Linked DNA regions of Lepisosteus oculatus. Each later gene encodes a partner of the first gene's protein in a complex. Links are inferred from orthologs where the notes say so. Each region holds a gene or a part of one and is shown on either strand. Other genes may lie near its edges.

Evidence for each region.
Region 2: AT-rich interactive domain-containing protein 1A (region 1) and smarcc1a share a complex: the UniProt entries of both Homo sapiens proteins name them as parts of the neuron-specific chromatin remodeling complex. The link is inferred for Lepisosteus oculatus from reciprocal best matches to the Homo sapiens genes ARID1A and SMARCC1.
Region 3: AT-rich interactive domain-containing protein 1A (region 1) and actl6b share a complex: the UniProt entries of both Homo sapiens proteins name them as parts of the neuron-specific chromatin remodeling complex. The link is inferred for Lepisosteus oculatus from reciprocal best matches to the Homo sapiens genes ARID1A and ACTL6B.
Region 4: AT-rich interactive domain-containing protein 1A (region 1) and smarcd3b share a complex: the UniProt entries of both Homo sapiens proteins name them as parts of the neuron-specific chromatin remodeling complex. The link is inferred for Lepisosteus oculatus from reciprocal best matches to the Homo sapiens genes ARID1A and SMARCD3.

What each region holds. Positions count from the first base shown.
Region 1 is NC_090706.1:7,218,704-7,227,119, forward strand, and holds the start of AT-rich interactive domain-containing protein 1A, read right to left. Parts: upstream 3,568-8,416; 5' UTR 3,241-3,567; coding exon 2,314-3,240; intron 1-2,313. UniProt on the Homo sapiens protein: Involved in transcriptional activation and repression of select genes by chromatin remodeling (alteration of DNA-nucleosome topology).
Region 2 is NC_090705.1:20,049,600-20,057,363, forward strand, and holds the start of smarcc1a (SWI/SNF complex subunit SMARCC1), read right to left. Parts: upstream 3,165-7,764; 5' UTR 3,095-3,164; coding exon 2,900-3,094; intron 1-2,899. Other genes in the region: KAT8 regulatory NSL complex subunit 1, read left to right, coding at 4,224-6,100. UniProt on the Homo sapiens protein: Involved in transcriptional activation and repression of select genes by chromatin remodeling (alteration of DNA-nucleosome topology).
Region 3 is NC_090698.1:10,092,835-10,100,829, forward strand, and holds the start of actl6b (actin-like protein 6B), read left to right. Parts: upstream 1-4,416; 5' UTR 4,417-4,658; coding exon 4,659-4,683; intron 4,684-6,174; coding exon 6,175-6,251; intron 6,252-6,737; coding exon 6,738-6,903; intron 6,904-7,440; coding exon 7,441-7,541; intron 7,542-7,822; coding exon 7,823-7,920; intron 7,921-7,995. UniProt on the Homo sapiens protein: Involved in transcriptional activation and repression of select genes by chromatin remodeling (alteration of DNA-nucleosome topology).
Region 4 is NC_090701.1:29,339,559-29,347,392, forward strand, and holds the start of smarcd3b (SWI/SNF-related matrix-associated actin-dependent regulator of chromatin subfamily D member 3b), read right to left. Parts: upstream 3,259-7,834; 5' UTR 3,024-3,258; coding exon 2,946-3,023; intron 1-2,945. UniProt on the Homo sapiens protein: Involved in transcriptional activation and repression of select genes by chromatin remodeling (alteration of DNA-nucleosome topology).

The DNA.
Region 1 (8,416 bases):
GTCAATACTGCCAGCTCCCTCCTTACAAAGCTTTAAAGATGCACAGAAAACCTAGAGCAGCCTGCAAATCCCTGTATGTAACTGCAACTTTGTAGCGAAGATCATGGGCTGGACAGGCTACAGACACTGACAGCTCATATAATCTGCTGCAAGAAGAACAGTTGTAAACATTATTAATAACCTCCACAGAAATGTATGGAAATCGACAGGCCAGCCACCTCCATTTTGGTCATTTCCAGCTTGGCACTTTTCTTTTCAATCCACCAGGCCACTAAACTGCAGACTCGAAGCATCTTTCAGAGCCCAGGGATCTCCACCTGTGATGTGAAGCTTTCCGACCAAGCAACGAGACAAAATAAATTAATGAAAACATGACCCCACACTAAAGTCACAGCAGTGTGACATGGACAACTGGAATTCAATTTCATAACATCACACACTACAATTTACATCTTAGTAAAAAATGGACATCTATCCACTTCTATAAATAATCTAATCAGTTGTGCTATGCAATTAGAACCCTAAATTCAAATTCTCGATGAGAGGATTTATTTAATCTTTATAATGTGCAATCAATCTAAGACCCTTTATCAATTATCTAAAGCCACAACAATCTCAAAATTAATTTTCACTCCCTGAAAAAGAACAACCTCTGAGCTATACTGTAATTGTTAATAAAATTAAAATGAACAATTCTGATAACTTTTTATAAAGTTAGGAGGCTTTAAAAAAAAGCATTAAAAGCATTAAAGTATAGCATCCAGATGGTAGAAACTATGTGGGGGGGAAATTCCACTAAGTAAACTATTAATTTATCCTAATAATAATATATGAATGAATGGTTTACTTGGTGAATACACCCAAGAAATACAGAATTACTTGGATTAAAAAAACTGAAAAAGTTCTAGTTCTAATAATTGAAACTGCTCAAAAGCTTATATAATGAGATGTGGATGTTATCACTAATACGGATTAGAGAAAATGGACATTAAGGTTTTAAAATTATTTCCCCGTCCAGTCAAACAGATCCATTTCACACTCCATCATAACCAAAAATGACCTGTGACTATTAAAATTATTGATCAAACTATCAACAAGATGCGCCCTTACACAAATACAACCATAAACACTGAACAAAGCTGGAAGATTTTTTTTTATTAATGACATATACTAAGTAAGACACTGGGGGGAAAATGTAACATATTAAACTGACCATTATCAATGACAAATTGACCTTTTACAAGCATCACAGAAGATAGTTCTGGGATCAAGAGAGGCAGCATGCCTGAAAGTAAGCAATGTGTGTTGTTAAGATGTTTCTGTTATCTTCAGAGTGTAAAAGTATATGAGCTAATCAGGGATTGTTGTAGCATTACATCAGATGCAATTATAAATGGCCAAGAGCAGAGGATGGAGAGCCAATCAGATCTCAGCTAGCATGTCAACCTAAGACCAACTGTCTCCTGGCTTTGACAGAAGGATTTTACCTCCATAATTCAAATCCCAAAGCAAAGCAATCTGCACTTACTCAAATCACTGGCCATTGTTTACTAGCAGCCTAAGGAAAGAAGAGCCCCGATCTGGGAATGCAGGGACAGAATTAAAACGCCATTCTCCGAGAGGAATAGGAGGTCAATGTAAAAACTCAGCAAATATAGTGTTAAAAAAAACTTCCAGCTCCAACTAGACGTTTATAAAGCCAGCACTGTTTTAGTATTTTCTGGAATGTTACATGCATTTTACAAGGATCAGGAAATCTTACTGCCATGCTGGGAATTTTCCCCACTATTAAATCCAAATATGCAAATGTAATTAATACAAACGTGCGGATCTATTAGTTGCTATAACCCCCGGACACACCAATGTTGCTAACGAGCGGCTACAGGGGAAACAGAAAAAAAAACCACCCCTGAAAGAGACAGAAAGCCCTGAGAATTACACATTTTAATTACCTTTTAAGCCGTCCTGCCCTGCAGATAAACAACACGCGAAACAAAAAAACGCCTTTCGCTGTCATTTTACCTCTTTAAAAGTCGCCTCTCCTTTTAGCCCGACCGCCCAAACTTCGACTTTTCACCGCCGGGCTCGGAAAGACGACGATTCGGCTCGACCAGCCGCTTGTTTTTACTAGATAAACGCTGTTAGAGGAGGTGGTGTGGAGAAAAAGCTGAGAGGCAGCCATTTTAGAGAGTCTGAGAGAGAGAGAGACAATGGCAGGTCCATTGCACTAGGTCCTAGTCTACACCATTACAGAGGGCTGCGAGTGTAAAACACAGCCAAGCACCGCGGGCTCCGAGGCGAATGAAACTTTACCTGATTTCTGCTTAGTGGTTGCCCAGTACTTCCCGGGCTCATAGGCGGCGGATGATGGGTCCTTTGTTGCCAACCCTGGTGGCCACCATACTGACTGCTGCTGCCCACGTCTACTGGTCCCTTGTTAGCTCCTTCCTGGTTACTGTAGTCGCTAGGGGGGTAGTTCTGGTAGCCCCTCGTCGAGCTGGGAGAGGTCAGGAGCTGGTTTAGGGTTGGGGTGGAAGTCGGCTGCGGGTTTCCCATAGTATACCTCTGATTATTGTAAGTGACAGCCATAGCTGTAGTTCCTCCCGCTGGCGGCGGCGGCTGCTGCTGCTGCTTGGCTGGCTGCCCCCCAGCCGCCGGAGGCTGGTTGTTTCGCGGGGAATTCATAGTGTACCCTTGGCCGGGGTAGGCAGTCCGATTGGGGAATGGGCTGTAGTTGTTAAACTGGTGGTTGGGGAAGCCGTGGTCGTGCGAGTTGGGCTGATAGGAGTCCATCATGCTGCCTGGCTGCACGGCCGGCCCCGCCGCAGCTGCCATGCCAGGGCTTTGTTGTCCGCCATGTTGATGAAAAGGGCCCCGGCCGTAGTGCGGGCTGTAACCGTAGGGTGGTGGAGGAAAAGCGGCGGGGTGGTGGTGTGCCATCCCGGGGTGGTTATTCCCTTCGGGAGCTCCTGAATCATTCTGGTTATTATTATTGTTCACCCTGGACGGATTCCCGTTCCCGTTCTTCATCTCCGGATCCCCTCCTCCCCCTGCATTTCCACCATCGGCCCCGTCCTGTAGCTCCTTCTGACCCGGGGATCCACTCTCCGATCCCGGTTCCTTATTTTCCTGCTGCTTCTCCCCCGGTACCGGCTCCTCCTGTGGGTCCCGATCCGCTTTTTTCAGTTCGGACGGCGGGCTGGTGTTGAGAGTGGCGACGCTGGCGACCTGAGCGGCCATGATATTCCTCTCTCTCTCTCTCTTTCACAGCGAGTCAGTCACAATCAAACACTCAATAGCATTGAATATAAATACAATTATTTATAACAATTTACCCGTGTCCCGGCTCATTCCCCCCTAACACCGGACCGAATCCGGGCTCCACTCCCGGCTCCGATGCGAATTAAAAGTTATTGAAAAAAAATAAATAAAAATCCCGGGAATGAAATTAACCGACACGGAATGTGGGGGGGCTTCTGTTAGAGAACGAGACTGAGAGCGAGAAACTGATCAAACCAGCACGAGGCTCCGCGAGACACAGCCATTTTACTGAGGCGCGCAGAGAGACGCAAAACCCGGACTGGAGTCCCGAGACGGGGTGGAGCGGGACTGAGACTGGAACTCGACCGGGGTGTTTTGAAATCACAACAGCAATAACATTTATCGCAAAGTGGATGGTAGAGGGGGTGGCGGTGCAGAAAATAAGGGAAACGCAGACGTCGGCTTTAAAAGGTGCCGTATCCTGAGAGGCCCCTCATGCTTTAATTGGGCCAGTTCAAAAGAAAACATGAATATTATTTTTTAAATCCCATTTTCCTCTTCAGGAAAGGGGTTGTGTGCATTGGAAAAAACACAGTCAAGATAGAAATCAAACAAGTTCACGTGTGTCAGGGTGTGTGTTTGGTGCTGGGTGGGGGAGAAGTGTTATATATTTGTTTAAAAAAACAGAACGGGTACTGTAAAAGAAACTATCACTGCGGGCACAATGGGAAGCCTATTTAAAACAACGCATACCGAATGGACGCGAACCAGGATATGGTTACACTTTATCTTGCGCCCGTGTGAAGACAGGGGGTGTGTGGATGTTAAATGTCCTGCTCCTGTGCGCTCAAAAGCAGGAGTGAACTAGTTGCCGTGGACGGTTCTGTGTAAATCTTCCGCGCACTGCGAGCATGTGAAAAGTGCGACTGTGTGCACAGAAACACCCGATCTCCTCACAGAGGCGGCATGGAATTACAGCGAGAGAGCGAGGGAGGAGGGGTGAGCTGTGGACTGAACCAGTCACAGAGCAGGAAGTGATACAGAAGGCAGGGGTGGGGGGGGGAGAGATCCGCCGCAGTAGCAGCTACAGTCCAGAATACTATTTCTTAAGAAAACAATGCATAATATTCCGACTGTGGCTTGGCTGCGCAGCAAAAGGAGAAGGGAAAAAAAAAACTAAATAAATAAGCCTCCGGCTCTCTTAGCGTCCCGGCGCATTTAAAGAGATCGAGCCGCCATCCCCGATCCGCGCACACACACACACTCACACCCTCTCGCTCTCCCCACCCCCTCCCCGCGCTCGCGGCCTGTCTCTCCGGCGCAGACGCGCGCACACAACTTCGCCTCTCCAGCGCGGGGGGATGGGCGCGCGGGCGCCACAGCGCCTTCCTCGCGCGGGGGCCTGACCTCGTCCGGCGTGCGGAGGAAGGGGTTCCCCTCGGCCCTCTGGCGGGGAGGGGGGATAAAACCAGTGGCTTATTATTTGCGTTTGGCGGGGGTAAAAGAAGAGGTATAACCCCAAACCCTGCCTAGTCAGGACGCAGGGGGGAGGAGGTTTGGGGGAAACTCATCCCAACGTCCCCAACTCTCTCTTCCCCCTCTAAACTCGTGTCTCAATGACCTGTTTTTCTTTTCCACCCTTTTTTCTCTCTGCACCCGGGTTTGTTCGCTTAAATCCCTCTGCATCCCTTTTATGTGTCGGCTGTCTTCCACGGATGACGACGACAGAGGAGGCCATGGAGGAGGGAGGGTGTTTCGACGTCGATTTTGCCCAACGCTTTCCTCCCCCCGGCCTGTTCCGTCCCTGGTCCCTACCCCGCCTCCCTCGCTTGCCACGCGTTCGCGCCGACTTCCCCGCCGTCCCCCGCGAGCGCGCTGCGGACCCTCACCGGGCCGGGACGCGGCACTGCGGACCCTCAGCGGGCCGGGCCGCGGCACTGCGGACCCTCAGCGGGCCGGGCCGGGGCACTGCGGACCCTCAGCGGGCCGGGCCGCGGCACTGCGGACCCTCAGCGGGCCGGGACGTGGCACTGCGGACCCTCACCGGGCCGGGACGCGGCACTGCGGACCCTCAGCGGGCCGGGACGCGGCACTGCGGACCCTCAGCGGGCCGGGCCTGCAAGCCCGACAGGTTGTGGCTCAGCGCGAGGTGCACATCTGCTCTGCGGACCAACTTGTTGAGGGCCGAACTGCCGGCAGCAGCGAAGGTGTGTTGTGCCTCTTCGCGCTCGGGGGGCCTGGGGGAATGAGGGCGGCTCCGATGCCCGTTGGCCTCGTTTTACCACAAAAAGCCGCGCGGGCCGGCAACGTTTTTCACCCCACCAGCCCCCTCAGCTAGCTCACCCTTCCGACTTGACTCGCCCCCCCCCCCGCAAACTTCCAGACGCCGTGACGTGTCGGAAATCAAAACGCCGGACAAAAGAGATGGTTTTTACATGGTGTTCCTTGAAAGTTTTGACATATTTTCCTCACAAAAGGACCGAACGTCCGTTGTCTTCGGCTGGGGCTAGGCCGTGACGCCGGGGGAGGTTTTGACAGCGCGCCGCCTCTGTGACTCCTCTCCTCTGGCCTCCGAAAGCCAACTGCTTCCCCAGACAAGAAAAAAAAGAAGGTGTTCCCTTGTTTTAATTTTGGATCCAACTTTCGCGTGAGCAACGGTCGCACGAGCTGACAGAAACCCCTGTCCTGCAGAGAATAAGCTTCCCGGACTTTGAAGGGTCTTGCGCTCTTCTAGAAGAAGAAAGGAGAGTGAGGCAAACCAGGCATCCAGTTGGCCAGGTGGAGAAATAGAGAGGAACTTAATTCGTTCTTGGTGTTAAAATCAGGGACATAACTGACAGCCCAAACTGCAGGACAATTTTCATCACGTTGGCATTCAAGTTAAATACGTCCATTAAGGATTTTTTTTAAAGCCACAGTAAGACAAAACAACATCTAACGATCGTTCACCACTTTGTCTGTTTAGGTGCCTTTGCAGAAATTATTCTCTACAAAAGAAAGGAGACCGTTCTGCAGGATAAGCAGAGGACAGCACAATTCCCCTTTGCATGACATCACACTGCGCTCAGATCACACTTAAGTGGTTAACCCAGCCCCAGTTACTCACACTGTTCACATTAATAGCAAAGGTAGAATCCCTAAGGCCTTCCACCTCGTGTGTCTCAGCAATCCCACCGGGATAGAGCACATGGCACTGTGAAGGAATCCGCAGGATTGTGCCCCAGGAAAATTGAATGTTCCAAGCCTATAAATAAATTGGATTTGAAGAATATATAATATTAAGAACATACAGTATATAATCTACCAAAAAATATGATAAGCCTGTATTTGCACAGGACATCAAGGATAAGAAACCTGGCAAGAGGCCTTCTGAATTGCTTCTGTAATGGTTCTTGGTGTTTCCGCCCTTGCCACTCCTGCCCTGCCAGTTCGTCCCTCACCGCCTGGGCACGAACCCAGGTCTCCGGCGTCATGCAACAGGGAACTTGACGGCTGAGCTAAAGGAGAGCTCCCTCAGCCCGGGTGGCTGAGATCCCTGTTATACGCAGGGGCATATTCGTTACACTTGGACGAAGGAAAAAAAAAAACACACACACAGCATTGTAACTCTTTCATGAAGGGTACACCACACCATACAACAACATGCATGAAAACCATACAGCAAACTGAAATTTCACATAACTTGACAGGACTGCTGCCACCGACCTGCCCCTGCAGAAAGTTCCTGTCAGCTCTCCAGTCCTTCATATCCACCTGACTTCTCCCTAGAAGTCCAGAGCTCTGATCTTGGCTTTCTGCTGAAACTGCGTCTCGTTACGAACCGGTACAAAATAATGATGGGCCCATAATGGAATTTGCACCAGTGGTGGTAAAGGATAATGCGTGTTGTTTTATCGTATGGTGCAGTGCTTGTGAAGGATGGTGTTTTTTTTCACCATCGTATGGGAAAAGCATTGCCAAATTTGCCAGAAAGATCAATAACCTAAAACTGAGAACTAACATCAAAGAGCGTGGGTTTGGTACAAACGCTGTACATGACATTTTTCCATGCTCAGGCCTATATCCACTCTCCAGGTCCCTGGACTTGACACTTAGCAGCGAGCTCCTCAGGTATGACTGGTCATCGGTTACGTGCTGTAGGCTGCCCTTCTCCCTACCGTTTCCTGCTAGGTTAGGAAACTCAATCCGTCTTCCCACAATAATGATTAAAACATGCTGACCGAACAGCCTCTGATCTTGCCCCCCGAGAAAATGACGAATGTATCACATTCAGGCCTCCACTGGTACAGGGCTTCTCTAACGCAGCACTCCTGAAACTTTGCCAAGGAACAGAGGCCAAAAGCATGCCTGTCTCGAACATGACACCCACCATCACCCAGCTGTAATACAAACCTGATACCAGCTGTACTCAAACATTGGCCCAACAGTGACTGAAGCAAGGCCTGGTCGTGATGGGGAGGGATGCAGACTCTTTCTGTCCCACGGTCACAGCTCCCTAACCCTGAAAGAAAACAGACTGTGTTTCATACCGCTGACAGAGCAGAGCCTGCTGGCCTTACTCACAATGGACATTCACTGCATAAATAAGGGGAAAATTCTGCAATCACACAAAGATTACCAGAACCCTTAATTACACCAATGAAACAAAAAAAAACACTAACATCTCTTTCACTCTGAACTGAAGAAAATAAAAGCAACAGCACAATAGTGGAAAAAAGTTTATTGATGATGGATCATTATTTTTGAACTCTGTGTTGTGTTTTTTTTCCCATTGGACTAAGTCTGGGAAAGGAGCCATTTAATTACTAAGACAGCCAGATAATGTGGAATGGAATTTCCTCACGAAAGTGGAATAGGGACTGGTGATATACGGACGCACACACCCACAGCATGTAAACACACACACACACACTTTGGGCCTCGTCCAGCTTGTTGCTTGAGAGGCGACGCACACTCTGAAGTGTGATTAGGAAGGAAGTGGCACTCGAGGGACTGGTCATTCCCAGACACACTCAAAGCATGGAGCACCGCCACACAGCCTCACCTGGAGCAGATAATCGAGCTCTTCACATCCGCAATCTGCAATTAACAGATCGACACCACGGACAGATCGCGTGCACAGATCGGATAACCACACAAAATGATAAGGGGCAAC
Region 2 (7,764 bases), on another chromosome or scaffold:
GGAAATGAACCATGGTACTCAAGTAGAAATTCAAAATTTAGAACAGGAAGCAGTTCTCTACACGTGGGTTGTGGATATCTGGAATAAGTTGCCCAGCTCTGTTATGGAAGCCAGCATTGTGTCTTTTAAGAAACAGATGTATGAGTTTTTTCATATCACTTAAGTACCAGCAAGCAAACGGGCCAGATAAGGAAAATGACCTCCTTTCGTATGGAACGTCTCTCATGTGCCTAATCTCACAAAAGACACACATAATGTGATAAATATCCACTTTAGATGGAAGACACTTTAGTGTTAGATTAAGACTTTATCATTATAAACATGGATTGCACGGTGCTGCAGTGATTAGCATTGCTTCAATTCTAAAGAGGAGTGGAGGAGCAGTAGTAGAGGGATGTACTGACATACGAACACGTGCATTGGAATTCTTATACGCGTTGATCTCTCGGGACATACACAGCACTACAGACAACACCACAAAATGTACACAGTACATTACAAACATAATAACAGGAACAATAAATATGTTGTGGGACAATAACTATGTAGTAGTGAGAGAAAAACAAAACATGGTAGACTATGCAAAAAGTGCATAGTGCAGATGTGTATTGAGTCTGAGGCATTGCAGTTAGCTGTTGAGGATGCGTAGTGCAGCAGGATAGAAGCTGTTCTTAAATCTAGAGGTCTGTGTTTTAATAGTGCAGTACCACTTCCCAGAGAACAGTCTGTGGCCAGTATGGTTGGGATCCTGAATGATGGATTGGACTTTAGTGCAACAGCGGATGGTGTGAATCTCACTGATCAATGGTAAATCACATCCTATAATCCATCCTTAATCCTAGAAATTGCTATCTGTGTGGAGTTTGTATGTTCTCCCCCGTTCGCACAGCTTTCTTCCAGGTGCTCCGGCTTCCTCCCACAGTCCAAAAACATACTGGCGGGTTAGCTGGCCCTAGGTGCGAGTGTGTGTATCTGTGTTTGTGCCTGCTTGCCCTGCAATGGAGTGGCACCCCATCCGGGGTGTATCCTGTCTCTTGCTTGCTGCTTGCCAAGACAGGCTCTGGCTCCCCTGCTATCCTGAACGGGACGAAGGAGTTAGAAACTGGATGGATGATTAAACATCCCTGGCAAGGCCAGACTGAGCCACAGGAACTCCAGCAGCACTCAGACAAACCCTTATTCTCTCATTGTTCTTACAAAATATGACTGACCACACACTGTGACCTTTTGCATTGGAGGATATTTGCAGTGCGGCCACTGGGCGAGACGCAGACGTATCTATTCTGGAGTACCTACAGAGTCATCCACGAGTTCCTCTGGATGAAACAGTTCAACTTATTAATGAAAACGGTAATCGGACATGTCTATAAAGGTTCAGTCTGGATTGTTGCGAGAAGAAACACAGCCACCAGAAACAATACCCAAAAGCCATGTGAACTAAGATAAAGGTTAGCGCAATCCAACAACCAAGCAATACAAAACTCTTCAAATCATTTAATATCAGCTGATCCACTATCCACCTTTCAGTTCTTTAAGCATAGGAAACGTTACTGACACAGCCACAAGCAAACATCTGTCAAACTACAGCGCCCGGAAGCTCTTTCAGACACGCACTGCTTTAGCATAGATAGGAGAAATAAACTCCCACTTCTCTGCAGTTTAATCCGATTCGGGTTTTACGGGTTGCACTCTTATGCATCCAGTCAAAACCTGGATGTTTCAAGTTGGTAACCTTCCCACGTAAATCTGCAGGGGGGACGTACGTATCTCCTTCAACTCCAAATCGATCAAAATGCATCAAGAGCAGCTTTTGGAGTCGAATTGCAACTACCGCTCAGCAACACGAGATCTGGGCTCATCTCCGCCCCCTTGCTTCGTAGCTCCGTTAAAAATACCAGTCGGCCATCTGTACAAATTGTGATACCACACATACAACCTACAAAATCACACGTCCCCCCCCCCCCCCCACACACACACACTCGCATTTCGATTACGATATCGTGTATCCAGCAATGCCGGCCAAGGCGGTGGGGCTCTCGAAACAAAGCGTTTTCTCTGCTTGAGGAGGCAGGAGACGCAGCTGCCGTGCAGACAATCCACACGGGACTCTTTGTTCGAGCCTGCGGGCTGTGTCTGGACAGCGGCAGCATCCCGGAGTCACACAACTGCGAGGAGCAGCACCACCTGCGGCCGCCTCCACCTCGCCCGCGGCCGGCACGCCGACACCACCGAACCCGGGGCCCTTTTCTTTTTTCTCCGTGGGCTGACTTTGGAAACGAAGTCAGCTGTCACATGCGTGTGGCCTAGGGTTTTGTTTTCCGTAACTGCTGGCCCTCGACCAAAGCTGTACATCAACATTAACCTAAACACACCTTTAGTTTCACAGCGCTTTCCACGGAAATGTGTTTTGCCGTGTCTTTTTGGGTGAGACCGTAATATCTCCCCTAGAGGCTTCAACATTGCCAGGCAAATCCACTTCCTTTGCCTGCTGACCAGCGACCAACTTCAGAAAAACACAAAATTAACACCAATACTTCGATCCATTAACGCGCCACCCTTAATCACGGTTATCTGCCCACCTTTCGTACAAAAATCCACTCCATTATAGAAAGAATTACTTAAAAAACTTGAATTCACCGTCACCCACACAACATCCCTCACCATCAAAACAACTGACCAACAGCCTCGATGCTTGCGTTTAGCGGCTTGCTGGATAGAACGCAAATCGGTTTAAAAAATGAACCGATTTCCCTTGCAATGGGGCCATCTTAAGTAAACCAAACGAATCAAGAGCATTATTACTCCCTCCGCGATTTCACTGCCCGTACAAAAGGCGCCTCTCTGTCGAGCAAGGCGCACGGATGTAGCCGCCGAATCAATGGAGGTGGAAGAGCTTTACCTTCTTGTAGTGCTTTCCGATCCATAGCCGGACCGACTCCAGCTGAGAGACCGTCTCCGAGCTCTCCCAGTACTTAGCAGACGGGCCCCCATCTTTCTTTCTGCCCACCGAGAGAGTCGAAGCACCGCTGCCCCCTTGCCCGGCCGCCGGGCCCCCGGAGCCCGCTCCCCCAGCTGCAATTGCTGCTGTCGCCATTGTTTTGTGCTACTCGCCTCGCTTCCTCCCCAGCCAACCGCCTAGCTCCCAATTCAAGGCCTAGAACCGAACTGCGCAGCCGCCAACCTGCTTCGCAGGGGCTTCCTTGGGAAGGTACTCCCTCGCGGGAGGAGTGAAGGCTAATGGGAAATGTAGTTCACACTCATTTTAGGGACATGTCTGTAATACAATGCTCTAAAATATCTCTAAAAATTGAGGTATTTTAGAGATATTTCACACTTGAAGAAGGCTCCACGGCCGAAACGTTGTGTTCCCTTTCTTATTTTTTCCAGCATGGAATAAACCTATTACTTGTTCCTAAAATATCTCAATATAGCAATCTGGGTTAAATAGCATTCTCCGTCATCTCGCAATTCAGCCTGTATAACAGGATATTTGTTGAGTAGTTTAAGTAGGTAGCTGCGACAGCATGCGTAGGCTGCAAAGAAACAAGTTAAAAGTTTATTCCATGCTGAAAAGAGGAAAGGAAACAACGTTTCGGCTGTGGAGCCCTCTTTGGGCGTGTCGGGGTATTAGTTGAGTATATTGCACTGAGTATTACGGTTGACAGCCATGCAAATGTAAGAAAAAGAAGATATGATATATCAGGATGGAAACTATGAAAGATGTTAAAAAAACACCGCCCTTTGTAGCTATTCCAAAGCAAACCCAAACAAACATATCTTCACAACATTAATTACCTGATAATATTTTGTAATAAGCCTACAAAAATGGATAGTAGGCTACTAAAATATAAAGTTCTTTATGAGCTCTTCTGTACCTCTTGTTTAGAATCTTGAAGAAATCTTGAAGGTTTACAACAATACTTGCAAAATCAATTACGATAAACTCAGAAGTGCTTTTATTGTATCGTACTATTGTAACAAGGCAATATTCATCTTGCAGCTTTAAAGGTAACGGCATATTCCCCGATTGCAGAGTAGTGACAGGCGCCTGCGCGCTGGTCGTCAGTGAGCTGACAGACCTCATACCATGTACAGCACAAAACGCAGAGAGGCAGTGGGAGTGACGGGTAGGACAGCTCCAGTCTCTGCGGGACACGGAGGCAGGGCGGCGGGAGCCTTGACTGTCCTACCAGTCCTGGCCATGCCAACGACCAGATACGGCGATGTATTTTTATTTTACCTGGCCTAAAATGAGCGGCAGTGAAGCGTGTGGGGGAGGCGGGGCAGAGGGGACCCTGCCCAGCGGCGAGTGGGGAAGCGGGGGAGGAGGCAGCGGTGAGCTCGCCGACAGCGACGGAGCTTGTGTGCTTGCTCCTACCGCCGCTGCCGCAACTCCAGCTCCGTGCTGCGAGGGAGAGGCCGGCAGCGCCCGGGCCCAAATGTATAGCGATTGGAATCATGAAGATAAAATCCGCAATAATGTGGACGCCAGCAGTAAAAATAAGGTCGTGCTTCTGGACAATGCCAGTGACAGCAGCGGGGGAAAGCGCGACCGGAGTGCTGAGACTGGAGAATGCGGAGAGGAATGCCTCAGTCTTGCCAATGGAAACGGAGATCTGCTGAAGGGTGCGAGCAGCATTAATATTGATTACAAAACCAGTGGCTCCGAGCCTGGAGAAAATGGGGGCGGACGGAGCCTTGTTATGGCTGTTGCATCGGGGAGGACAGAATGCGCGGAGGGCAGGGGGCTGCAAGCTGCCGCCTGCAAAAGGAGATACAGCAACGGATCCAAGACGGAGAACCGGGTAAGCAAAGTCTCAGGCACCCGGAATCGTGCAATAAATTTGGCCGCTGCAGTCACGAAGCGTCCTGGAAGTAGCCTGAGCAGAGCGCCGAAGAGGGTCTGTTTCACGGGGGAGATACCATCAGCACACTGCGGCATCATCTCGGGCTCTGGAGCCGGCTGCTCGGAGTTGGAAGATCCCTCGTTCTGCTCTCCGCCCATAGAGTTCAAGACCAGCCTGGCCGGTTCGAGGCATTTTAAAAGCCACTCGGAGATCCCCAAGCCCGCCAGCTGGGCTCGCTCTGCCACGGTACACATCTCCAAGCGTGGGAGCAGGTGTGGTGTTTCGAGTGGTTTTGAAAGCCCCGTTACATCGAACAGGATTGGCGTATTCCCATACTCTAGTGCGGCAAAAGACAGCTGTGTTAATTATATTGATAGCAGCAATGGACAGGAGCCCAGAAGTGCCAAAGGCAGGGTGAGACTGTATAGGGTGCGCTCCTTCCTGACGGCCACAGCCGGGTGTAACAGCGCGGGCAAGGGCAGCAGTAATGCGAATGGTTGCCGGGGCCCACAGAACGGGAGCAGTTTCTGCCCAGCGCTCCGGCCCGCCTGTGCTTCTGCTCCAGGGATAAGCAGCGTTTTACACCCTGGGCCCCAGGAGAGCCAGCCTGGGCGGCAGTCCTGCCGGTCAGCGAGCAGCTGCCTTGCCCAGCCCTGCCGGCCAGTTAGTGGGGGAGCGGACGGCATCTCTGGACATGGAAGAAATGATGGCAAGGAGATGTGGGCAGCCAAGGGGGGCCCTGCGCCGCAGAACGGTGTGAGTTTGGGTTTCACCTCAAACGGCGTGAGCAGGGTGACTTGGGTGCCAGTGGCGGCACTAGCTCGGGCCCTCCGGGGGGGAAGACGGCCCCCGGAGGCCCCCAGCCTCAGGGCAGTGGAGGCGGGGGCCGAGGAGGCCGGGCGGAGGCAGGGGCGGTTGGAGGAGCGGACGGAGAGGCTGTGGAGGCGGCTGCAGGCGGTGCAGGGGAAGCAGCTGGAGAGGCACGTGGCCCAGCAGCTGCGCGGCCTGGCGGGGACCGTGGCGCGAGGCAGGAGGGGGGGAGGAGGGGCGCCTCTCAAGCACGGCGCCCTCGCGCCCGGCACCGGCGAGGTGGCCCGGTTTGCGCAGAGCTGCACGGCAGCCCTCAGGACGGTGGAGAGCGCCCTGGACTCGGACGCCACGGCGAGCAGCAGCTCTGGAGGGGAGAGCGAGAGTGAGGAGATCGGGGAGAGAGGAGGCAGCGTCGGCCCAGCTCCGCACACACCCCACACACTGTGAGTAACTCCCCTGCGCCCCAGACAACCCCTGAACCCTGTAACTGCACACTGAGCCCTGCTCCATCCCTTACACTGCAGGTCACTATCATAAGCTCTTGCATGCTGCAGTTACCAACATGCACACATTGTCTTTTCAATAAGCACATAGAGAGGCAGGCCTCAAGATTGAGTTCAGAATAATAATAATAATTGCTTACACTTATATAGTGCTTTTCTGGACACTCCACTCAAAGCACTCTACAGGTAATGGGGACTACCCTCCACCACCACCAATGCAGCATCCACCTGGAAGGCCATTCCTAACTTCCAGCACTTTTTGCCATCACTGAGAGGAACTGTTCCTCAAAACATCTCAAGGGTGACACAGTAGGGCAGTGGTGAGATTTGCTGCCTCACAGTGATGGGGCCCTGGGTTCAGTTCCAGACTTGGGGTGCTATTGGCATGTAGTTTGTATGTTCTCCCCTCGTTGCCATGAGTTTTGGCTGGGTGCTCTGTTTTCCTCCCACGGTCCAAAGACCGACTGGTAGGTTCCATTCAGAGTGTACCCCTTGCCTGTTGCTTGTTAGGATACTGTAGACTCTGTCCCTGCAGCCCTGAATTGGCTGAAGTGGTTAGCAAATGGGTGGATGGATGGAAGGAAAATGTATTTCACTTGTTTCGGTGGAACCTGTTTTAACACATCTCCCTCTAGAGGTAATTTTCTTTTCGCTCTGAGCTGTGTCAAGAGTTGATGCGATGATCTGATAGCTCTTGCTCCAGGAGGTCAGTGTTCAGGCATTTATCCCCGGGTGAGCTGGGGTCTGTACCAGGAAAATAACCTGCTTTTAAAGGCTATGTAAATATCCAAGCACATGAAATGCCTGAGGTTTTGCATAGCTTTTGAGGTAACTAAAGTGATCAAAACTTTAAGTCAGAGCTGTACGTGAAGCATGTTTTTTCCCCTCCCAGTCTTAGAACAGAATAGAAAGAAAAATGGTAATTTGTGATTAGGGTTTAGACATTGGTTGGGGTCTGATATGAAAGCTTCTGTGACTGGATAAACCCTCACCTGATGGACTGGTCTATAGCTTCCAGAGACCCTCTTCAAACTACTGCTGCCATGGCATGAACAGAAGGGTTGATGGTTTATTTTGATCATCTCGGTGTCTTTTTCTATATTTTTTCATCCATTCTTACAGACGTGAAAGGACATAATAAAGGTAGCATTCATGGATATGGCCATGTGACCTGCTTTTTTAAGATCAACTTAAATTCATTAGGGAATGGAGTCTGCACGCACTTCTAATTGTGTATTTTTATTCTTCTGGCTTCCTAATATACTGGTTGATAGCTCTCGTGTTTCTGGTATGTCTCACAGGGATGCAGACTGAAGGTCGAGCTCTCTGTGAAAAAGGCTGATGTACTAAACCTGAGGGAGGCAGATTCGTGAAGTATTTTCCCGTATTGCTTTGATCACAGAAAATGTTACAAATAAAAAGGAGAATTTGAACTGCTTGCATGCACTGCTCTAAAATAGCATCTTGAAAGATTTATGCTAAAGCCCTCTTGTTATAACGTCAGTGTGCTGGCTACTTACAGAAGGTGTAATCTCAATGTAACAGAAAATGTTTTTTTGAGAGACTGCAGAGTTATCTGATAAATCTTACTGATCAGAAATGAT
Region 3 (7,995 bases), on another chromosome or scaffold:
ATCGCCTCTCCTCTTCAGTTGAGGGGGGCTGGGAAGGGATGAGAAGACCATGTGCAACTGCAGACGGGAGGTAGCTCCTATATTTTCAGAAGCAGCACACTCCTCCCCCCTCCCCCCCCCCCTGCCTGTTCAGTAATGGTATGGCCCACCTGCCAAGTTCTCCAGGCTGCCTCATTAGGGAGTGTAGTAACGGAGGCTGGGTTGCTTAGCAACAGCCTTAGCGATGGTTCTAGGCTGGATGGATGGGCAGAGGCTGATGGAAGGAGAGAGAATCAGTCCAACACACACACACACTCAAGCCCACAGACATGCACACGCACAGACATACACAAGTGCACAGATACACAAATGCAAGCACCGATGCACTTACAGACATGGTAACACACAATGACACAGAAACACAAATTCCAATACACCTCTCTCTCAGTCTACACAGCCTCGCGTATACAGAGAGCATAATGTCCAGAGCACAAAAGAGAAGGAAGAGGTATCACAGAGCAGCCTTCCAGAAATATGCAGGATTCCTTCTCTGCAGGGGGCGCTATAATCGATTTCCAATTCACCCCATCCCACCTCACCCGTTTCCAAAGCTGTGGCCCTTCGATAAAGGGTCAGACAGCCTTGTCAACCACTGCTCCTCACCCTGCCCCCTACAGGAAAGACAGAGAACAACCCATTGTGTGCACTCTGTGAGACATCTGCCTCCCGTCACACTGACACAGACACACACTGACACAGAGAGGTGCACACACACTGACTCACAGACACACACTGACACAGAGAGGTGCACACACACTGACTCACAGACACACACTGACGCAGACACACACTGACACTGATATCCACACTAACACAGTGACATGGGTATCAACACACACTGACACAGAGACCAACACAGACACAGAGACACACACACTCACACGCAGATACATGCATACACTCACAAATAGATACACACACACACTGACACAGGGACAAACACTCACACACAGATACATGCATACACTGACAAGTATGACAAATAAATACACACTGACACAGATATATACATGATCACAGTGACACAGACTGACATGGACACTGTACATGTACACAAAGATTCAAACACACACTGATACACAGATACCATGCATACACACACATAGATGCATGCACACACACTGACACACATTCACACACACACACTGACACACTGATACCATGCACACACACACAGATTCACAGACACTGACACACTGATACCATGCACACATACACAGATTCACACACACACTGACACCATGCACACACAGAATTCACACACACTGACACACAGATACTGTACATGCACACACACTGCCGATCACTGGACCCTCAGTTGGAGCAGGAGGGACCCAGAGACACGATCTGCCCCAGCCCGTCAGGGATACTGATGCCCCGGAGCGAGAAAGCAGCCGGTCAGGCCGGGCCGGAGGCGAGGGGCACTCCAGCACAGCGTCGCCTTTTTAATCGGTGATGAAATAGCGGCGTATTTACGGGACTGCAGGACTGGGACACCCTGGCAGAAAATAATACACACCCACCCGAAAATAACCACCTGCCCAATTGCTCTCCTTATAATGAGCGCGATCCGGACACAGTCGGACTTTCCAATCCAGCCGGACGCCCACTCGTGAGCAGCAACTGACAGGTCTGCCCACGGAGACCGCGGCAGCACCCGTATCGATCCGCGAGTGACTGCGCTCCTCTCGTCATCTCGCTGCCCGGCGCCCGGCGTCTCTTACCTGATCCGCGCCCGTGCCTCTCTCCCTCTCTCACACACAGGGGGCCTTTCCCGGGACCGTCCACCCCAGGACAAGAGTGACCGATTCCCCCCCTCCTTCTCCTCCTCCCCGTCTCCTCTGGAGCGGGACCGGAAAAAAAAAACACCCACCGCGTCACCTGCCTCCGGCGCCGCAGGGGTTAAGTGTTCGCGGCTCCCCCTCTGCTCCACACCGCCCCCCTCTTCCCTTTTCCTCCTTGTCCGCCTCCTCTCGGAGTCTGCCAGGACACGCCCACCACGACCGCATTGTTCCAGACTGACAGGGGGAATTGTCCAATCAGAGGCAGAGATGACCACTGAGGGGACGGAATGCGGCTATCGACGTAGAATGTGCCAATGAACCACGCGATGATAAACCAAACTTACTCTGAGCCCATCATGGGGCTACAGTCCCAGTACAGGAGAACAGTCCTGTCACAATAGGAGCTACAGTCCCAGTACAGGAGAACAGTCCTGTTACAATAGGGGCTACAGTCCCAGTACAGGAGAACAGTCCTGTTACAATAGGAGCTACAGTCCAGTACAGGATAACAGTCCTGTTACAATAGGAGCTACAGTCCCAATACAGGAGAACAGTCCTGTTACAATAGGAGCTACAGTCCCAGTACAGGAGAACAGTCCCGTTACATAGGGGCTACAGTCCCAGTACAGGAGAACAGTCCCGTTACAATAGGGGCTACAGTCCCAGTACAGGAGAACAGTCCCGTTACAATAGAGGCTACAGTCCCAGTACAGGACAACAGTCCTGTTACAATAGGAGCTACAGTCCCAGTACAGGAGAACAGTCCTGTCACAATAAGGGCTACAGTCCCAGTACAGGAGAACACTCCCATTACAATAGGGGCTACAGTCCCAGTACAGGAGAACAGTCCCGTTACATAGGGGCTACAGTCCCAGTACAGGAGAACAGTCCTGTTACAATAGGGGCTACAGTCCCAGTACAGGAGAACAGTCCTGTTACAATAGGGGCTACAGTCCCAGTACAGGAGAACACTCCCGTTACAATAGGAGCTACAGTCCCAGTACAGGAGAACAGTCCCGTTACAATAGGAGCTACAGTCCCAGTACAGGAGAACAGTCCCGTTACAATAGGGGCTACAGTCCCAGTACAGGAGAACAGTCCTGTTACAATAGGAGCTACAGTCCCAGTGCAGGAGAACAGTCCCGTTACAATATGAGCTACAGTCCCAGTACAAGAGAACAGTCCTGTTACAATAGGAGCTACAGTCCCAGTACAGGAGAACAGTCCTGTTACAATAGAGGCTACAGTCCCAGTACAGGAGAACACTCCCGTTACAATAGGAGCTACAGTCCCAGTACAGGAGAACAGTCCTGTTACAATAGGAGCTACAGTCCCAGTACAGGAGAACAGTCCCGTTACAATAGGAGCTACAGTCCCAGTACAGGAGAACAGTCCTGTTACAATAGGAGCTACAGTCCCAGTGCAGGAGAACAGTCCCGTTACAATATGAGCTACAGTCCCAGTACAAGAGAACAGTCCTGTTACAATAGGAGCTACAGTCCCAGTACAGGAGAACAGTCCTGTTACAATAGAGGCTACAGTCCCAATACAGGAGGACAGTCCTGTTACAATAGGAGCTACAGTCCCAGTGCAGGAGAACAGTCCTGTTACAATAGGAGCTACAGTCCCAGTACAGGAGAACAGTCCTGTTACAATAGGAGCTACAGTCCCAGTACAGGAAAACAGTCCTGTCACAATAAGGGCTACAGTCCCAGTGCAGTAGAACAGTCCTGTTACAATAGGGGCTACAGTCCCAGTACAGGAGAACAGTCCTGTTACAATAGGAGCTACAGTCCCAGTACAGGAGAACAGTCCCGTTACAATAGGAGCTACAGTCCCAGTACAGGAGAACAGTCCCGTTACAATAGGGGCTACAGTCCCAGTACAGGAGAACAGTCCTGTTACAATAGGAGCTACAGTCCCAGTGCAGGAGAACAGTCCCGTTACAATATGAGCTACAGTCCCAGTACAAGAGAACAGTCCTGTTACAATAGGAGCTACAGTCCCAGTACAGGAGAACAGTCCTGTTACAATAGAGACTACAGTCCCAATACAGGAGGACAGTCCTGTTACAATAGGAGCTACAGTCCCAGTACAGGAGAACAGTCCTGTTACAATAGGAGCTACAGTCCCAGTGCAGGAGGACAGTCCTGTTACAATAGGAGCTACAGTCCCAGTGCAGGAGAACAGTCCTGTTACAATAGGAGCTACAGTCCCAGTACAGGAGAACAGTCCTGTTACAATAGGAGCTACAGTCCCAGTGCAGTAGAACAGTCCTGTTACAATAGGGGCTACAGTCCCAGTACAGGAGAACAGTCCTGTTACAATAGGAGCTACAGTCCCAGTGCAGTAGAACAGTCCTGTTACAATAGGGGCTACAGTCCCAGTACAGGAGAACAGTCCTGTTATAATACGGGCAAATTGAAGTCGGGGGAAATTAATTCTTCTCGTTGCCTTGGAGACCAGAACCTTTAAGGTACAGCCTGTCCGCCCACCCATTTCTTCTTGCCACCCAATGGCGTGCGTCCACACGGCGCTGTGATTGGTGGGCTGAGGAAGAACAACAGCGGGAGAAAGAGCGAGTGTGCTCGTGCGTGAGGGGGGGGCGCGAGCCTCAGCCGTCCAGCTTCGCCTTATTCTGCACAGTTGTCATCCACAGACCCCCGTCCCCAAATCCTTCCTGTACAGACAGATCTTTGTAATTTCACCCGACAGTTACGCATTAGGGATATCTGATCAAATCCGAGCTGTCCTGACCTCCTGTCTCTTTTTTTCAGGTTTCTGTTTAATTGATGTGACAGCTCGTTTTGTGGGGGGGTGGGTCTAGGCGCCGGTATGAGCGGCGGAGTGTACGGAGGAGGTAAGGAGCGACCGTTTCGTCTGCGCGCAAAAACCCGTTTCCGAGACGGGTGACACCTGAGGACCGAGGCTGGGAGATAAACCCCCCCCCCCCCCCGTGAGCGAGACAGGGGGTGTGGGAGAGAGCGAGCGGGCGGACGCGAGCTTCGCCGCGTCCATGTCGTGCGACACTTGGCGTGTATCGCGACACCGGAATGCAGACTCGAGAGGCTGAGCAGCAGGATGATATACTGCTGAACGCGTCTGCCTCCGTGCCCGTGTTTACATCCGTGTCCGCATCGGTGTCTGTGGTCCAGAGCGGTGCTCGCGGCTGCCTGCGCCTTCACCCGTACCCGTGCCCACGGCCGTGTCTTTGTTCCACTGCCTGTCCACTGTGTCCGTGTGCGTGGCGCTGCTGTCAGCGGGGTCTCCGCCAGTGGCGGGGTCTGTGTCGCCGGGTCCGGGGGCGAGCGGGGCAGCGTGCGGCGACACAGGGGGACCCGCGAGGGGATGGGGACCCGCGTGGGTGACCTCCCATCGCAGGAAAAGCCACGGTTCCGTGGGGTCAAGTCCATCCCGACACGCGCGTGTGGGGAAACGGTGTCGGGATTGGGGAATGTCGGCCGCAGATGCGTTAAAGGAACGGAGTCTCTTCAGTGGTCTGCAGCGCTGTAGGGGACTATGAGGTGGGGCTGTTCAGGAATTCAACTGTCAGTTGCTGACAGCCTGAACCCAGAACATTGTTCTATGTCAGGAACACGACGGCACAACCGGATGTGTAATAATAATTAATAATTGCTTACACTTATATAGCGCTTTTCTGGACACTCCACTCAAAGCGCTTTACAGGTAATGGGGACTCCCCTCCACCACCACCAATGTGCAGCCCCACCAGGATGTGTAGACAAGCCTGAGAACAGGGAGCACATCCTTACACAAAGGCTGGTGAGGGTGTGGAACAGCAGCCCCAGCGCTGTTGTTGTTGTTGTTGAAGGAGATTCCCTGGAATCCCTCCAAATCATCCGGATGACTTGGGGAAAGAATGGCTATTGAGCAACCCAACTCCCGCTGTCCCTTGCCCAGCCTGTGACTGTTGCTCCAGTCATGTCCAACTGGGCTAAACTGCAGAGGACCAGTGACGAGTGGGAACACTCACCCAGCAGGCTGGGGTCCCCGGGTTCAGGTTCAGGCAGGATCGTCTGGAGCTGAGCATGGGGCTGATTCCTGTCAGGGTTCAGGGTTCGAGGACCACTTGGTCCCAGCGAGACAGAGAGCTCAGCAGCCACACCTCCTTACCTGCAGCTGAGAGAGGGGTGTCTCTCTCTCCCTCTGCCTGTCTCACTCTCTCTCCCTGTCTCCAGGTGAGCCCCTGTCTCTCTCTCCCTCTGCCTGTCTCTCCCTCTCCCTGTCTCCAGGTGTGCCCCTGTCTCACTCCCTCTCTGCCCGTCTCTCCCTCTCCCTGTCTCCAGGAGTGCCCCTGTCTCACTCCCTCTCCCTGTCTCTCCCTCCCCAGATGAGGTCGGGGCTCTGGTGTTTGACATCGGCTCGTTCTCCACCAGGGCGGGCTACGCTGGCGAGGACTGCCCGAAGGTACCGCGCGGCTCCTGCCCGCTCACCCCTCTCTCCGCCCTGGCCATTCCTGCCCGGAGGATAAGCTGAACACTTGCTGGTTTTCCAGTGCCAGTCAGCCCCTTCCAGCACGCAGTGAAAAACCGCCCCCCCCCCGAGCAGTGCATCGTGATCCGTGTAGAACTGGGACTATGAGAAAAGTGGTTCACAAGAGTGCACGCCAGGGGGCACCTCAGGGCTGGGCTCTGTCTGGACGCTGTTACAGCCCCGCACGGCGGGCCCTGGCGTGAGCCTGACTTGTCCACGTCGCCAGCAGGGCGTTCCCCATGGCCTCTTGCCATGTGAGGTCCCAGCCCCACTGCGCTGCAGTGGTCAAGCTGCCTCGCTGGCCCTCCTCCAGCAGCACTGCCGTTCACCTCGTACCCACTGTCCCCTTCACCCCCTCCCCCTCTCTGTCTCTCGCGCTGGCCTCACCTCACCCCCCCCTCCCTCTCTCCTTCTGCCCAGGCGGATTTCCCCACCTCCCTGGGAGTGCTGGCCCAGGAGGAAGGGGGCGCGGAGCTGGGGGCGGACAAGGAGAAGTCGTCAGGACGCACGTTCTACATCGACACCAACGCCTTGCACGTGGCCCGCCCCGGGGTGGAGCTGGTGTCCCCGCTGAAGAACGGCATGAGTGCGTGATGCCGCCTGCCCACGACCCCACTGCAGCTTCATCAATAGGAGCCATGTACCTTCGAACCACAGGGGGGCTCCCCCTAGTGGCCAGCCGGGGAAAACACTCTTTCCGAGTGTCGCTCCTGCAGTCTGCACTGATGTGTCCTACTCAATATATAATATCATTACATATTAATATACAATTAATATATAAAATATTAATTATATATCAATACATAATCATACTAATATGCTTTGAACTGAAAATGATACATACGTATACTTATCTATACTGAAAATTATATGTACAGATACTGATAATACTGGTACTGATCTATATATACTGAAACTATGTCGAGATTTGAAATATGATAGTAATACACATGGAGACTAGTATGTACAGAAACTGGTACACACCGAAATTGACATGATCAGGTACTGGTAATACACTGAAGCTGATATGTACGGATACTGAGACACTGCAGTACTGATCCAGGCCTGCTCCTACAGCGGTCACGCTAATGACGCCGGCGCTGTCGATGCTGTTTGTTTGCAGTTGAGGACTGGGAGAGCTTCCAGGCCATCCTGGACCACACGTACTGCAAGCACGTCAAGTCAGAACCCAGCCTGCACCCCGTGCTCATGTCAGAGGCTCCTGTGAGTACTCGCTCCTCAGGCCCTCAGCCGCACAGCGCCGCTCGTACCGCCAAAACTGCCCTCGCTGCCCCGGGGAATACCGCTCCTCATTCTCATTCTGGTCGCGTCTGGCGCCACTGGCGCTACCAGGAACGCAGCTGCTTCCGAGAGGACTAGGGCCGAATCCAGTGGTAGTGGCTGACAACAGCCGTGCTGGTGGCGGCAAGTGTTGGGTTGTGTGCTGAGCCCGCGGGTTCTGAGAATGACGCTGATGTTACTGGCTCTGTGTGTGTGTGTGCCAGTGGAACACGCGAGCCAAGAGGGAGAAGCTGACGGAGCTGGTCTTTGAGCACTACAATATCCCAGCCTTCTTCCTGTGCAAGACCGCCGTGCTCACCGCGTATCCTTCACCGTGTGACCACCTGCGTCCACCCGCGTCCGTCTGTGTCCATCTGTATCCACCTCGGTTCAACTG
Region 4 (7,834 bases), on another chromosome or scaffold:
ACATAGAAGAATATGATAAAAACATCACTCCACTAACAGTTATTATGACTCTTAATAAAACCTGAGTTCTAGATTTTGCATTGTTGGGGATAATGTCAGGGATATCACAGGCTGACTTGGTTATTGAAATCCTGACTTTGTATTTCCCAAGACATTTAGGATAGTTAGTCTTCATGTGGTTGGCAGAGATGGCAATGATGATGTACAGAACAGAGAAGAGATTTTATTTTGGTTTGGTTTGGTTTTTTGGTTTTTTTAACTTTCGTCTTTTCTTTGATTTGCTTAATTTAACGAAGATAAAAGTTATGAATACAGGGGTCTGGATTCAAAAGTTTCATCTTTGAAGTTCACAAGGTCAACTGAATGTACATGGTGCCACACACAAGATGACCAACTCGTAATATTTGTAACTATGTGGCAGGCTGCCACTATCACACCCACTGGAGGGGCCACAGCTGCATGTTCCACAGTTGCAAAGTGGAAGTTTAAATAGACAAGGTGATTGAAGTTTATTAGTGAGTGATCGGGTGCGCATGGGAATGCAACGATGTCTGCGTGCCTCCGTGCTGTTTGTGACACGCAGTCCCACTATTGACCCTGTCACACTTTAAAATAAACAACTTGTGTGTCAATGTAGACAAAGCAAAATATGGATAGCTCAACTATGAATAGCATGCGTAGGCTGCAAAGGAATAGGTAAAGGTTTATTCTGTGCTGAAAGGAAAAGGAATGCTGTAACCTGAAGAGGGCTCCACAGGCAAAACTTTGTCTATTCTTTTATAGCACAATGAAAAGACAAGAAGCAGCGATGTGATCTGTCTTTCCTTACCATCGAGTCGCACAAGCGTTTTCCAAACATATAGATTCAGTGAAAGGTGAGAAAGAAGAACGGGGCATCAATGCCGTTAGTGGTTCACCTGACTTCACTCATTTTAGTGCACAGGTCCTATTTACTCATGCATACTGGCTGAAAGCATGCCATGGAGAAAGCTGAAGGAAAGGCACTGACCTTCCTTGCCCTTAGTGACGTGTCATTTATGTAACCATTTCTAAACAAGCAATTTAGCTAACCACGCCGAACTAGCAAACTGATCCCCAACCATACTGAAAATAGTTAACATTATATCCCAAAAAAGCTTTTCTCAAACTCAAAACAGGTTTTTCCAGAGAAGCAGCGGGTGACATTGATTAGAAGGCTAATGCCTGAGTTAAACGACCTACATCGGCAAAAAACTAACCTGATCTTTTCAGAGTGACTGGTATTGCCAAGGCTCAGCATCAATGAGATAGAACACAAATTGAGAATGGCACAGAGACGACTAATCATCTCCCGTGTGATTTACATGTGGTGTTTCAGATTACGCATTACAACCTGAAACAGTGGGATGGCAAGATCCTGACAAGGGTCTCCAGGTTTGTCACTTGGATGTCAAAAGCATCCACTTACTTTCTCCTCAATGAAACCAATGTACCTGCCAAAATCTGCTGAACCAGGGCAATGGATATTGGTTTCTGTCAATTTCACATAGGAGAATATAAATAAGAAAATAATTGGAGATTCCAAAATAAAAAAGTAAAAGTTACACACCATGTGTCATACTGACTACTTATTCTTGCAAAAATAGCATCTGAAGAGACTTCTCAAACTACAGTGTCAGGGAATATGCACAGAGGCGGCTGATTAGTGTCACACGAAGCTGAGAACTCTATGAGGTGGTCTATATCTAGGGTAAGCCTAACATGCTGTACCTCCTCTCCTCATTTTCTCTTTCAGGTGTTACCCTGTTTGTAATGAAATATTTATGACAGCACAGAACAATCTAAGAAGAACAAACAAAGAACTGCATCAGAAACCAATAGCAAGTTGTAGACATACACCTCTAATTTCTAATTTGTCTCTAAATTCTTCTAACCAGACAGCCAGACGGTTTGTATTTCATTTGCTTCTATTGCAGCAGAACAGATTTGTTATTCAGGAGACATCTGAGTGTAAGAAACTCAGAGTTTCTCTAAATCTTTTTGGCTCCAGGGATGCCCTGCTCTTCAGGTCCAGCATGGTGGAAACCAACGTTTATTTTTGCAAGACTTTGTTTATCATAATTAATTAAGACAAGCACCAAGGTGGCCCACAAATAAAGTCAATGTGTGCTCAACATTGTTTGCTGGGCTTGCTGGATGAGTGTTTGCACTAAGCAGGTTCCTCTTACTGTAGCAAAAGAGTTTTCATCTTGTACAAAATCTGTCAGGCAATCTGGAACATACTAGGCATGTTTTCTTAGAAGACACGGCTCCTGAATCCTGACACAGTATGCATACAGTAGCACACTACAGCATATTGTATACTGACCTTCTCCCACGCAGTTTATTATTTTTTCTCTTAAAAACAAACAAAAAGACAATATGCCAGACTGCCAGATCTTAAGAGCTGACGTCCATTTGTTCCAGCATTCCACTTGTATTGTTCCTAAACTTTCCTACTCTTTACAAAGCACAAGGCTTTTGTGCCCACTTTTGTTGCTCTGATAAGCCTCTCAAGGCAATAAACCTTCCTCTGCACTTCCCAGACTGAACCATTAAGGGGGCTTGAACTGGTCTCATCTAAACTGGTTAAAAGGTTGAGGGGGGCTCCCCAGTTGTCCAGGTGTGCTGCGTGCAGCAGCAGAACTCAAGTTGTGGAGGCCAGTCGCAGTAGGCACTCCACATGCTCTTCTGGAAGCGACCAAGGAGCAGCGTCTCTTTCTCTTTTTAATGACTACAAAACCCACCTCCCCTGCTTCCCCACAGCTCCCTCCCTCCCCTCTCTTCTTTAAAAAGAAACGGTACGCGACTCAAGGCTGGAAATAACCTTCACACGGCTTTCCCAGCTATCTCACGCATGCAGACTGCCAAGCTTTGCACACACAGAGCAACCCAGCTCTTACCCCAGCCAGCCAGCACCTACTCACCACACCGTGGACGAGGAACTCAAACAGTTTGCTTTTCGTAGCTTTGCGGGCTCCCCCGGCAGTCTCCTCTGTAGCCATTTGGTAGCCCCCTTTTTCTTTTGTTTTCCTCCTTATTCTTGCTCTCTTTCTTTCCCTTCCAACTCAACCCCCCCTACTTCACTTTCTTCCTTTTTATTCCTGCCTTTCAGAACACTCTCTCCCACTCCCTCTCTCTCTCTTTCCCCCTCTCTCCCTCTCTTGTTCTCTGTGTTTTAAGTGTGTAGCCAAGCCAAGTCCCTCTCTCTGGCTCTCACACTTTTTAGTTGAGCAGCATTTCAGAAGCCTGTGGAGGGAGGGCGGGGGTCTGACAGGGGGGTTCCGGCAGGCCCACCCTCAGGGCCCCCCACGCAGCTGTTGCATTCCATTGGTAGATAAGGGCATGCTGTGTGACTGGCTGCTGCACTCTGGTGTTTATGCACTGGCTGGAAAAGTTTGCTTTACAGTTACCCATTCCCCTTGCCAATCACTGATGACAAATGTGCAGAGCTACAGCTTGACCAAAGAGAAAGGTTTCATTCTCAAAAAGGAGAAAGAAGGCTTAAAGGGCCCAGCTTTCATTTTGCATCTCGACTTCTCAAACGCTTTTAAAGCTCTTTCCAAATGTTCAGTTTGTGCGTTTTGAAACACAAAGCAAACCAACTTGAGCAGATTGCTTTAAATCAAACATGGAAGTGAAGCTATTTAAAAAAAATTGAAACAAAGAAACAAAACCTTAAGCATGGGTTTCAGCTGCTAGCAAGGGGTGCGCTTTTAACCAAGAAAACTTCATTTAACCTCATTATCACAGGAAACAAAATGTGGACTCTTATTCCCTGTACGGCCATGTCCAAAGAACTTAACATAGAAAGCCAGGTCTTATAAAGCTCTTATGTCCACATAGACAAATCAATCCTGTACAGTTCTCTACATCTCAGTGTCTTATTTTCTAATTAAATTAGAACAGTTCCACTTGTATGCTGCAGGGAAACCCATCTCTAGTTTTCCAGAAGTGTCAGATCTGCTGGGACCTTACAGGAAAAAGGGGAGCCGAAAGAACCACCTGAAACAGAAACTGTTTGGCAGTTTCTGTACTTCAAATGCTCCCCTGCAGAAAGATTCACACCCATGAACCCGATGTGACATCCGAGTCCAGTCTTCAAGACAGCACTGCATTAAGCCCAGAACCATCTGAACGGGACTGGGATTTTCTCGGCACTAGCTCATGACTGGTCAGACTCCAACTGCTGGATGGTCTTGAGCCAATGAAAAGTCAACAGCTGCCGCCTCTGGGACCTGCCCATGAGTTTGCAGTCCTGACAGTCAACCGGTGCCAACTGTCTCTCGAAGCGTTGTGACTCACTGGCTTGGCACATGGCTTACAAGTGAGCATCAGAGGTGACCATCCGCAGTCCTGTGAGGGTGCAGGGTCCATACTGGCAAGCCAATTGAGTAATCAAATGGTGACTTCAAGCTGAGAGGGCAGTAAACTATAGTAAGAACAATATTTAAGAAAAAAGATTTGAGCATACTGTAGGTACAGCTGAGCACAGGTGAGTGTAAGTGAAAGGGAACATTAAAAACATACTACAAAACCATGACAATCAGAAATATTTACTAAGCAGCATTCCGTATGAGCCAGAGTCCAGTACTAGTGCTTAGTTGTTAAAGTGTGGAAATAACAGCGATGCTGAGCCTTTCAGAAAACCCCAAGGGATGTACAGGGGCAAGCAGGTCAGAACAGGATATACTGTAGCATTAATAACTTCATACCTCGAATACAGTTTCAGCGAAACGAGAAGATTGCAACATAGTTGAACTTCACCAGACACTGCTGAATAACAAATTGTTCTTTATACACAGAAAACTGTTCAGAGGCAATGATTTCTTATGGTTAAGAAATCGGTTATTGCAAATTAAGCAATTTAAGTTTATAATGTATCCCTTAACCATTTCAGGTTACATTAATAGCCTAAGGTTTAAGTATAATGTTCATGAAGCCTGCATTCTCTCACACTTATCCCATATATGAGTTGAAACCTAAAAGACCTAATAGACCTAATAAAGGGCACAACACCAACGTCAAAGATCTTAGGAATCATCGCCAGCACAACAGATATACATAAAATTTGTGGATCTACAGAATTTTTTAATTTACATTGAATGGTTGGTTACAATATACTTTAAAGTTATTAGAGTACATTATGACAGATGCTTTTAAATCCCTGCAACAGCCTGACCACAATTACTTCAGTATATGCTATCTTCACTGGCAGTACCTGTTTTCTAACTCATTGTCTATTTCCAATTCTGGGGGAACAGCTGTCAGGACCCATTAACTGTGGCTCGGACTGATGTCTGAGGGATGTCTTACCACTCATTCTGGGGATAATCTCCCCTTGAATAATTTGACAACTGTATTTCCAAGGCTCTACTCACAGACAGTCACTTCCCTGTTTAAACTGTAGTGTCGGAGCCAGGCTCATTTTTTCCTGCATGGTTTCAGAAAACCTCCTATACACTTCCCGCAGCGTAGAACTCTGATTCAGGTTTCGGTTGAGTGAGCTAAAGCCTTTCAGCAAATCTTAAACAGGTAATCTACCCATACTAAAAATGCTTTGTAAGTAAGAGGTTGTTTGACTCTCCTCCTCCCCAAACCCCCAATCTATGGTTTGTCTATATTTCCCACATTTTCTTCCTCCTTGTTCAGCCCCACGATGCCTGACTTCCTGAATACTTTAACATCTGTGATCCGTCTCCCCTTAAACAGTTGTAGTAAGACATTTTACTAGAAAGGCAGCCTCACAGTTATACTGTACAACTCTTCTGTAGATTATTTTCTAACTATACAGAGCCTTTCACTACAATACATTAAACAGCTTGACATCAGGAAATACATTCCTTATCAATAAATTTAATTCACACCAGTGAAGACAGCAGCCTGTTAAAACCACCACAGTTTTATGGAATAATACATTCCTCTGTGACAGGTACTCACTGTCAGTTGATCCCAAGCTATTTTTTCCCACTCAGTTTGTCTGCTGGCTTTACACAGGACTGGCATGAGAGTCTACTGCTCTTTCTTATTGTCTTTCTCCTTATTCTGCAAATAAGACGTAACTGTACACAGGTTCCCTTTACTTCCATATTACTTCATAAGAGAGGCAAGAAAAACAATTTGCAGATGAGAATTGTAATGGGCTATACCAACTGCAGTATGTTATCAAATACATGTTAATTTAATACAGTGATATATGCACACCAGACACTGAGTATTTCATGGAAAATAATATTGAGCTCCTCGTGACAAAAGAGTAGCACAGTGTGTTGGCTGACAGACTGCTACTCAGGGGTACTATACTGTAACTACATACCGTATGTCTGCCAAATGTCCAATCTGGGAAAAGAAAGTTTTCTGTCATGGGATAATTACAACATGGAACATTTCCAGGAATATCCAATTCAAGAAAAGGTTACTATTTTCACATACACACACCAAGACTGAGCACACAGACATTCACATACTGTATACAAACAAAACACACAAGCACAAATGTACACCCCTACCAGAGACACAAAGATGCACACAGATGTATAGAGATGTACACAGACTAAAAAAGAGCACATGATCACAGTCTGCGTCCCCTGTGGACTGCATGTTGAGCCCACAGCTGGCTGGAATGCCTGTGAACACTTCCTCATCTGAAGTCTCTTTGTTTCACAACAGTTGTTCTCACAATGGTCATGCCCAGGCTCCTCAGGAGTCTCGGGGCTGCGGGTGACCCCGTGTCTTGGGAAAGGAACTCGGTAGTGTCGGTTCACTGATAGTTTTCCACGCAAACACTGAGAAACTCCACTCTAGCTTTGAGACTGACAAATCTCCTCAGTCTGTGTAAAAAGAAAACTTCCCCTTGCCGAGCTGTAAGTCTAAGTGAAGTTAATCATAATTCTGAAGACAGGCCCAAGCGACTGTGTTACTTGATGGTCAGAACATAAGAATCACGTCTGATGTCCTCACATCCAACAAATACTTAAGACTACTTTTAATTGGAGCAGATCAATATTCTTTCAGAATCCCACCACACAAACTAATAAAGTGTATTCATTGCCTGACAAATGAAATAATGCATACACAGCAAGAACCATGCAATCGCCTGAAGATCTCCCAGTGACTTAAAAAAGAGCATCCAGTGAGAATAACCGAAGACCCCTGGTGGGTGGAATTAGGAGGTTGTCACTGCAAGTCACCTTGGGACAGGAGGTTCACGTTCTACAGTACCAAGATCTGGCCTCCAGATGGCAGCGATAGTTTGTACCGTATACATTTTTTGGTTTACAAACTCATAACACAAGACAAACTTCACCATAAGTAAAAAAGAAAAACCAGGTGTCACAACTGGCACAGGAAATTCCACTGGGGACCCAGATTACAAATTAAGTACTTGGAAATGACATAATGTGTAACTATATAAAAGCTTTAGTGTGCAAATTAGATCTTTTCTGCACTTCAGAGAGGAGCTGGAGAAATGCTGGTGTGGGTGTGCGAGAGACAAGATCTCCATAAAGTCTCAGAAAAAGGTGATTTTATTCATCTGTTCTCAGCCTTCCATGGTTTTCAAAAGCCTGAAGAGCATCTTGTGACAAAAGCAGTGCTCTTGTTGTTTAAGCACATGAAGGTCTTCTTTCTAGCAACTCAAGAGTGAACTCTCTCTTCCTGTCGTGTGCGCCACAAAACAAAGCCACAGCTCCTGGTCCTCACTACGACAACAAACAGCAGTCATGTTCTTGTATTGTGCAAAGTGACACTGTGCTGTAGGAGCTCCTGTCCTTTGGATGGCATGTAAAACCCAGGTCCTGACTATCTGGTTGTTAAA